Nothobranchius furzeri: one gene and its partner. The main gene of each other region encodes a partner of the protein of the gene in region 2 in a complex. Links are inferred from orthologs where the notes say so. Each region holds a gene or a part of one and is shown on either strand. Other genes may lie near its edges.

What was found.
Region 1: ncapd2 (region 2) and smc4 share a complex: the UniProt entries of both Homo sapiens proteins name them as parts of the condensin complex. The link is inferred for Nothobranchius furzeri from reciprocal best matches to the Homo sapiens genes NCAPD2 and SMC4.

What each region holds. Positions count from the first base shown.
Region 1 is NC_091753.1:52,610,729-52,614,546, reverse strand, and holds part of smc4 (structural maintenance of chromosomes protein 4), read right to left. Parts: intron 3,764-3,818; coding exon 3,636-3,763; intron 3,483-3,635; coding exon 3,342-3,482; intron 859-3,341; coding exon 708-858; intron 1-707. UniProt on the Homo sapiens protein: Central component of the condensin complex, a complex required for conversion of interphase chromatin into mitotic-like condense chromosomes.
Region 2 is NC_091745.1:73,760,690-73,764,507, reverse strand, and holds part of ncapd2 (condensin complex subunit 1), read right to left. Parts: intron 3,336-3,818; coding exon 3,158-3,335; intron 3,065-3,157; coding exon 2,970-3,064; intron 2,898-2,969; coding exon 2,817-2,897; intron 2,315-2,816; coding exon 2,131-2,314; intron 2,055-2,130; coding exon 1,886-2,054; intron 1,799-1,885; coding exon 1,682-1,798; intron 1-1,681. UniProt on the Homo sapiens protein: Regulatory subunit of the condensin complex, a complex required for conversion of interphase chromatin into mitotic-like condense chromosomes.

The DNA of each region.
Region 1 (3,818 bases), on a different chromosome or scaffold from region 2:
TTACATTAAAGATTCATTTTCTATGGTAAAAGCAGACAAAACTGTAAACATCTTTACATAATCAGACACATCGTAATAAAAGGATTTGAACCAAGAAACATTCCTGTTCTCCACTTCAGCTCAGATAGTGTGCAGATCTGGGATCATTAATCTAAATTTCAATGAGCTTAAAGATAATACTTTATATTTGTTTAATAAACGATAACCATCCACAGCAGTTAAACTAGAAGCTTTTGATCAAAATGGTATCGAGAAAAAAAATCCCAGAAGCGTCGGCTTCTTTACGCTTTTCTTCAAACCGACCAACAAACCTTTATTAATATTTCTGCTTCATTTCTCCCTGATTTGTATTGTTTTTGTTCAAAAATAATAAAAAATGTCATCATTTTCACAACAAAAGTGGTTTGAAGAAATCTGGTTAGAAACTCAACAGACTAAGAACGGCACAAACGTTATTTTTTCCTCCTCGAGTTTCTTTTTGGCCCAAAACAAGCTAACACTGCTGCTATCGCTAGTGCAGCTAATGTTACATTTATTAATGCTACAGATTTTGGGGAAAAATGTTGCTTTTTATTTTTTGTGTGTCTCAGTGCCTTTGATCGGTGTTGCTGCGGGGTTATTTATACCAGAGTGACATCACTTATCTAGTAGAAATCCGTCACAGCAAGTGGAAATGAAACCACTGAGCATTTTAAAGGCCAACACACCTTTTTTCTGTCTTTTTCCAGCTGCTTCTGCAGAGTCTTATTCTTGCTCTTGGAGTGTTTGATCTTCTCACGCACTTCAACATCCTGCAGGTCCAGCTGGGTGAACTTTTCCTTCTGGGTCTCAATGTACTTGTTGATCTCATTTTGTTTTCTGAAGGGAAAAAACAACATTTTACTGAGTAAGCCGAATCAAACCCCTCTAAATTATTTATGAAACATAACTATTTAAAACCAAAAAGATGTTCGAGTTAAAAAAGCAAATATTCTAGATTTTAAAGAACATTTCTGTTCAGTTAACTGATAAGTTACTTATAAAGGTAATGAGTCAAAACAGAAAACTATAAAAAATATTAAAGAGCAAGTCACCCCCACCAGAGTCTTACTCCACTCCCACTTCCTGTTTGACAAATGCAACAAATGCTGTTGCCTAGCAGACCGAGAGGGCGGAGCCGCTAACAAATACACACACACACACAGGCTCACAACAGCATTGTGACATCATAATGTATCAGTTAACATCATAGCATTCTTCTTAAGGTTGGTTTATGCTTGACGCGTCCGCTAGGTTTTCACGGCTCCGCGCGGAAAGCTGCGTCATTTTGACAACCACGCCCCTCCACCGCACCTCTGCACGGCCCAAACTTTCCGCACCGCGCAACCAGGAATTTTTCTAACCACGCGGACGGTTGGACGCAGAAAAACATGGCGGACTGGCAAGAACTAGTATGGCAGAGGTTTGTAAATACAGACATTTGTATGATTCAGCTCTCAGAGATCACCGTGATCAACAGGTTAATAATTCTTGGAGAGAAATAGCTCGCACTGTCGGAAAAGACGAGGACGCTGTTAAAAAATGCTGGAATGCCATGTTGTAAACAACAGTCATTTCTACTTCTACTATGGTGTAGTGTTGGATGCATGCCGTAGAGCTCCATGCTGCCCCCTACAGTTTGGGAGAATATTGTCTCACCGCAGAGACAAGCCGCATGAACCATAAACACTGCAAGTTGTGAAGCGCGTTCCATCCGCGAGCCGCATCACCAAGCGGAAAGTGAATGCGTCAAGCATAAACCAAGCTTTAGCCAATAGCTGTGGCAGATTTAAATTAAAATACAGTGCAGAGGTTTTACCTGACGACAGCGCAACACTGACAGTTATAGGCTGAATATTTAAATTTTAACTAAGATGCACTGAAGTGCCAAATTACTGAATACACGCGTCTACAGCACGATTAGACACTCGTTTAAATAGTTTATCAGCAAAAAAAGTAGATTTGGGGGTGACTTGCTCTTTAAAGAACATCTTTTTGGGAGTAACTTTCAAAAAAACATATTTACATTTAAGCAAAACTTAAATTATCCTCAACACCACATTAGGAGCAGGTAACAACCACGACCCAACCTAATCCAATAAAACTTTATTCATCTCGACAGGTAACGTGATTAAAAACGATTCAAATGACAAAAATTACTTAATTAGCAGGAAATCAAAAATTTTTTAGTAGTTAGAAACAGCAGAAGGTAGGGCTGCTCGATTATGGCAAAAATAATAATCACGATTTTAGTGACTGAAATTGAGATCACGATTATTTAGGACGATTTTTCAATTTATGATGATTTTATTTGTTTTTATTCAGTCATAAAATTGCTCAGGGCACAATTAGGACAAAAATAAGAAACAAGATGATCACTAAAATAACTCCTGATTCCCAGTATAAAAAGACCAATATACTTATAGCTCATAGTCTATGACCCAAGGGCTATAGACCTTGGTTTAACTCATTTAAGTCTAACTAGTACAGACCCAAATACCAATATCTTGCAAATACTGACAGCAAGAATTATACAGTGGCATTTATAACAAATAAATGCAAATAAATTGATGTTCACAAAATGTTGCATAACATTTATTTAGTCATGTCAAGGTGCTGTAGGAGCGTGCACTAGCACCGTGTCCTCAGAGAGATTAGTTATTATTTATCAGCGTGAGGAACTTATTTCTACCTTATTTATAAACTATTTACAGGTCGATCAGTTAATGTAATAATTGTCTCAACCACAGCTGCACCCCCCACCCCCCAAACCGGTCTCACAGCAATCGGGCAAGCTGCACGTGTGTTTAGCACGCTGCACGCGCACATTTAGCTGTTTTTAGCTGCTCAGGAGTCCGCAGGTGCGATGTGTGTGTCACTCACTCTGGTTAATCCAACAAGGAGCCGGCTCCGAGAGCTGTCTTTAGCGACCGACACATCACTACATCATTCCCTTTCCTAATGTTGTGAAGAACGGTCCGGAGCTCAGGCGGAGTGTTTAGCTAACCTGCAGGAAATGTCGACGACCGTTATCCAGAAAGTAGCTAAGGGTTACCAGAGATGTTTCTGAGATGTTCGCTAGGTACTTTTAGGATTAAAAAGTCAAGAAGGGGGTCTGAAAAGCTGCTAGAAATAGCGTCAAAGTCGCCAAGTTGGCAACACTGTGGAGGAGCGCTTCATTTGCAACTCAGGGCAGCGCAAGCGGGAGGAGCAAATAATCGGCTTGTTTTGTTTTTTATAATCGTTCAAAACTCAGATCGTAATCGTGATTAAAATTCGATTAATTGAGCAGCCCTAGCAGAAGGAAACCTTAGACTTCTTACTTCTCGACATTTTTCAGCTCTTGATTCATATTTTCCATCTCTTGAGCTATCTTAGCCGTTTTCTCTGGGAGTTCCTTGGTGTCGTCCAGGATCTTCTGCTTCTCCTGCTCTTTCTCCACAACATGCTTGTGCAGATCATGACTAACGTCAGAGAAAAATGTTCAAAACACACAGAAAAAGTCAATTAAATAAACCACTAAAGCATCACAGAAGAATGCAATGATGACTTTGTGAAGCTATGTTGGATCCGAGTGTGAACTACGAGTACTTATCCTGTGGTAATGGAGTACTCACACGTAGTACTGGTACAGCCGACTCTTGTGTTTGAAGATATCATTCTCCAGGTTTAGGAACTCCACAGCTTTGTTCTTTTCTCCTTCCAAAGCATTTTTTTCCTTTTCCACCAGCTTTACTCGGTTTAGCTGAAACAATAAAAACATGAGTGATTGATATTGGGTCGCTTTGCTTTAGCCTGGG
Region 2 (3,818 bases):
TAACCTGATATTAGCGTAAAACAAAAAGATGCCGTAGCTTCTTAGGGTACAAGGAGTAACTTCAGTGTCGCTCCCGTTACACGATTAAGATTTTTACAGAACACTGCTGCATTTTGCCAGCCGGTGAAGAATTACAAATGCCGGTGCAGCAGCGTTAGCTCGGCACAGACTCTACAACCCCGTCGGCTCACAGATTATCAACAAAGACTATGTCCCTCTTTAGACTTTTAGGGAGGAGGAAAAACTGGCAACCTCCCAGCCGGCTGAGAAGGAAATCCATTTCAATGTAACGTTCCTTCCAACATGACTGTTAGATAGTTCTGGGATTATTTAAATTCTTACATATTGTACCTTTAAAGCCCCATTTTTAAAGTAACTTGTGCACTTTTTTGTTTTGTTTCCAGCCTTTTCCATTGATTTTTTTTTTTTACACATTAGGACTAATTTGGCTGCCATACATTCTGGTTAACTGGTAACATTCAACAAAAACTAAATGTGCACCATTTGCAAAATAAAAATAATTACTAAATAACAGAAGAAAAGTTCTTTTCGAACAGACGTCATTTTAAAAGTATTGAAGAATCGCTGAAACGTCACATAAACCTTTAAAACCCTTTTGTTAAAGTTAGCCGTGTTTGATGTTCCAGCTGAGGTGTTTTCCGTCAAATCCATCTACAGGTCCAGGATTAGTGCCGCGGTCATGCTCCGCTCACTTTATCAGAACTCAGGTAAAAAATAATAAAAATCCATCCATTTTCAGCCGCTTCTATCTGGAGTCAGGTCGCAGGGGCTGAGAGGTCCAGATTCCCCTCTCCCCAGTCACTTGGCCCAGCTCCTCCAAGGAAATCCCAAGGCGTTCCCATGCCAGCTGAGAGACATAGTCTCTCCAGCGCTTCCTGGGTCTTCCTTTAGGTCTCCTTCCGGTTGGACATGCCTGGAAAAACCTCACCAGGGAGGCATCCTAACCAGACGCCCGAGCCACCTCAACTGGCTCCTCTCGATGTGGAGGAGCAGCAGGTCTACTCCGAGCCCCTCCCGGATGACTGAGCTTCTGAACCTCTCTCTAAGGGAGAGCCCAGCCACCCTGTGGAGAAAGCTCATTCCGGCCGCTTGTATCCACGTTCTCGTTTCGCCTTCTGGCTCAGCTCCCTCTTCACTACAACAGATCCGTACAACGCCCGCATCGCTGCAGACGCAGCACCAAGCTGCCTGTCGATCTCCTGCTCCATCTTTCCCTCACTCGTGAACAAGACAGGACCTCGTCCCTGACCCGAGAAGGCGTTCTACCCTTTTCCGATTCCAAAAATATTAATCTAAAATTCTCTTTGAATCCCAAGACTGGCCTAAATAATCAGATTTACTGATCTGAGAATTTGTTTCAAAGTAATAAAACACTTTACACGCTTTAACATCACCTAATTAACCGAGTCTGAGCTCGGTTAATTAGGTGACAACAGCTCAGGAACACATCCGCTTTGTTGTTTTTAAAAACACAAACAAAGATTTGCCTTCGTCTAATTTGAGCCAGCGGTCTTTGGTTTGTATTTAATAACTAGAGCGAACCTTCGTCACTGATTCCAGGTGTTGGGGTGACACTTTTGAGAAGGTTTGGATTAAAACAAATTTACATTTTTAAATAAATGTAGAGATTTATTTTCATTTAAAAATAGAAAACGCGTGCCTTCGTCCTCCTCTTCATCACTGCTGAAGGTAACCGCAGGTTTCCTGGACTTTCGAGACTGTCGAGGCGTTACGAACGCGTCGTCGTCGCAGCCGGAAATGGAGGACTTTGATTGGCCTGCAATAAAACCAAGAGGAAAATAAACTAAAATAATTCATCACTAAACATCATTTGTGAAAAAAGTTACATGAGGTGAACTCTGACCCCTTTTGGATTTCTGACGACCTCTGGTGGGCCGAGGCGTACACGCCACCATCCTCTTAGTGGATCCTTCTGCCTTTTGGTTCTCCTCGTCCATCTCAGGACTTTCCACGTTCTCCAAACCTCGAGTGTGAACCGCCGTCAGCCGCTTCTCAAAATCATCAACCTGAGCCTGAAAGATTTGATCATAAATAAAAGTCCTGTCCTGGCCTTTTGCACACGACTGACCTAAGAACGAGCGCCGGTACCTTAAACTGAGGCTTGGCTCCACGGCGGAGCTTGCCGGTGATGGACAGGAGGGGCTGGTAGACTCCAGGTTCGGTCAGCTTGTCGCTGTAACACTCCCAGCTCTCCTGCAGTCTCTTAAACCCGCGCTCACACATGGACAGCAGAGACAGAGAGATGGCCAAGTCGCACCACTGTCGCTCCGTCCTGAGGAGAACATCAAAGGAGAGTTTGAGGGATTTGAAAACAAACCCGATTAGCAGCAACGAAAGGCGGACATCCCAGAGCCAAATAACTTAAAAAAGCTCATTACTCATAAACATGGCATTGCTGTGACATTTGGACCAAATCTCATTTCCCAGGATCCTCTTATGACTAAATTCACTTTGCCATACTATAATTTAAAATGCCCTTGCTTTGAGCTCCGTGTGTGGATGAAGAATGAGTCAGAGGCTGAAGTCTGGCCGGCCCATTCGCTGCACAAACTCAACCAGAAGAGCGTTTCCATGACAGAGTGAATGAGACAGCAGTGCAGGTGACAGGTGAGCTGAACTTGATTCGCTCTCTTCTGTGAGTGAGAGCGCCCACTAATTACCCACACAGCCGCCCCATAATGAAACGCTGCAACAAAAGCTCACAATTTAGACGCAAAGCTGCTGGGAAGAAAAACGAATATGCGGGTCCGAGACGAGGGAACAGATGCACTCACGTTGCAGTCCTGAAGCGCTGACAGAGTTTCTCTACCAGAGACTCCGTCTGCCTCTCTTTAGTGATGTAGGAAAACAGCTGTCTGGAAAAAACACAAGGACAAACGTTACTTTGATTAGGGCGTAAACGAACTCCGAGCAGCTGCGAGACTCACTTCATGATGGTGTTGAAGTCCTCCGAGCTCATGCCCCTCTCTGGATCAGACAGGCGGCTGATGATGTCTGGGAGCAAGTTGTAGATGGCATTGTCCTGACGGGAACGGAAAGAGCAACGTCAAAAACCCTTCAAATGACTATTTTCTGTGTGTGTGTGTGTGTGTGTGTGGTGGTGGTGGGGGGGCACCTTTGAGGACAGCTCATTGAAGAAGTTCAGAGCCAGGCTGCTGATGTGCACCTCCGGGTCAATTAACAGCACAGCGACCTCGCTGACTTGACCTTTGACCTTGAGCACATCCTTAAGCACCAGCTGAGTAAGAACTGTCACGGCGGTCTGCCTCACTGAAGGAACCTCATCGCTCAGTCTGGAACAAGAAGAAAGAGAAGAATCTAATTAGCGGCTACTTTAGTAATAGAGTCTGGCCACGTCCTGCTGCACAAAGAACACCGAGCCAAATATAAACAAGCACAATACAAACATGGAGGTTTAACCCCACAGAAACACCTGCAGACAGGTGAGTCGCACATCCATTATAAATACAACCATTATAACACCAAAAGCACATTACATCATACTTTCTAAAGGGAGACTTTGGCCATCAACGTGTTTTATGTGTGAGGAAAAATATTTTTCTTAAATGTTGTAGAAAGCTCCTCCGATCGGCCTCTGTTCAGAGAAACAGATCTCAGGACTGAGGAGCCATTTTGATTTCCACAAACATTTGTGTAAAAACTGAGTTTGTAAACTCAACACAGAACCTCAAATTCACCGAACAGTTAAACACTCCAGGCTGCTTCTTTTACAGCGACGTAAAGGTTTATTAAAGGGACATTATGGACGTTTGACA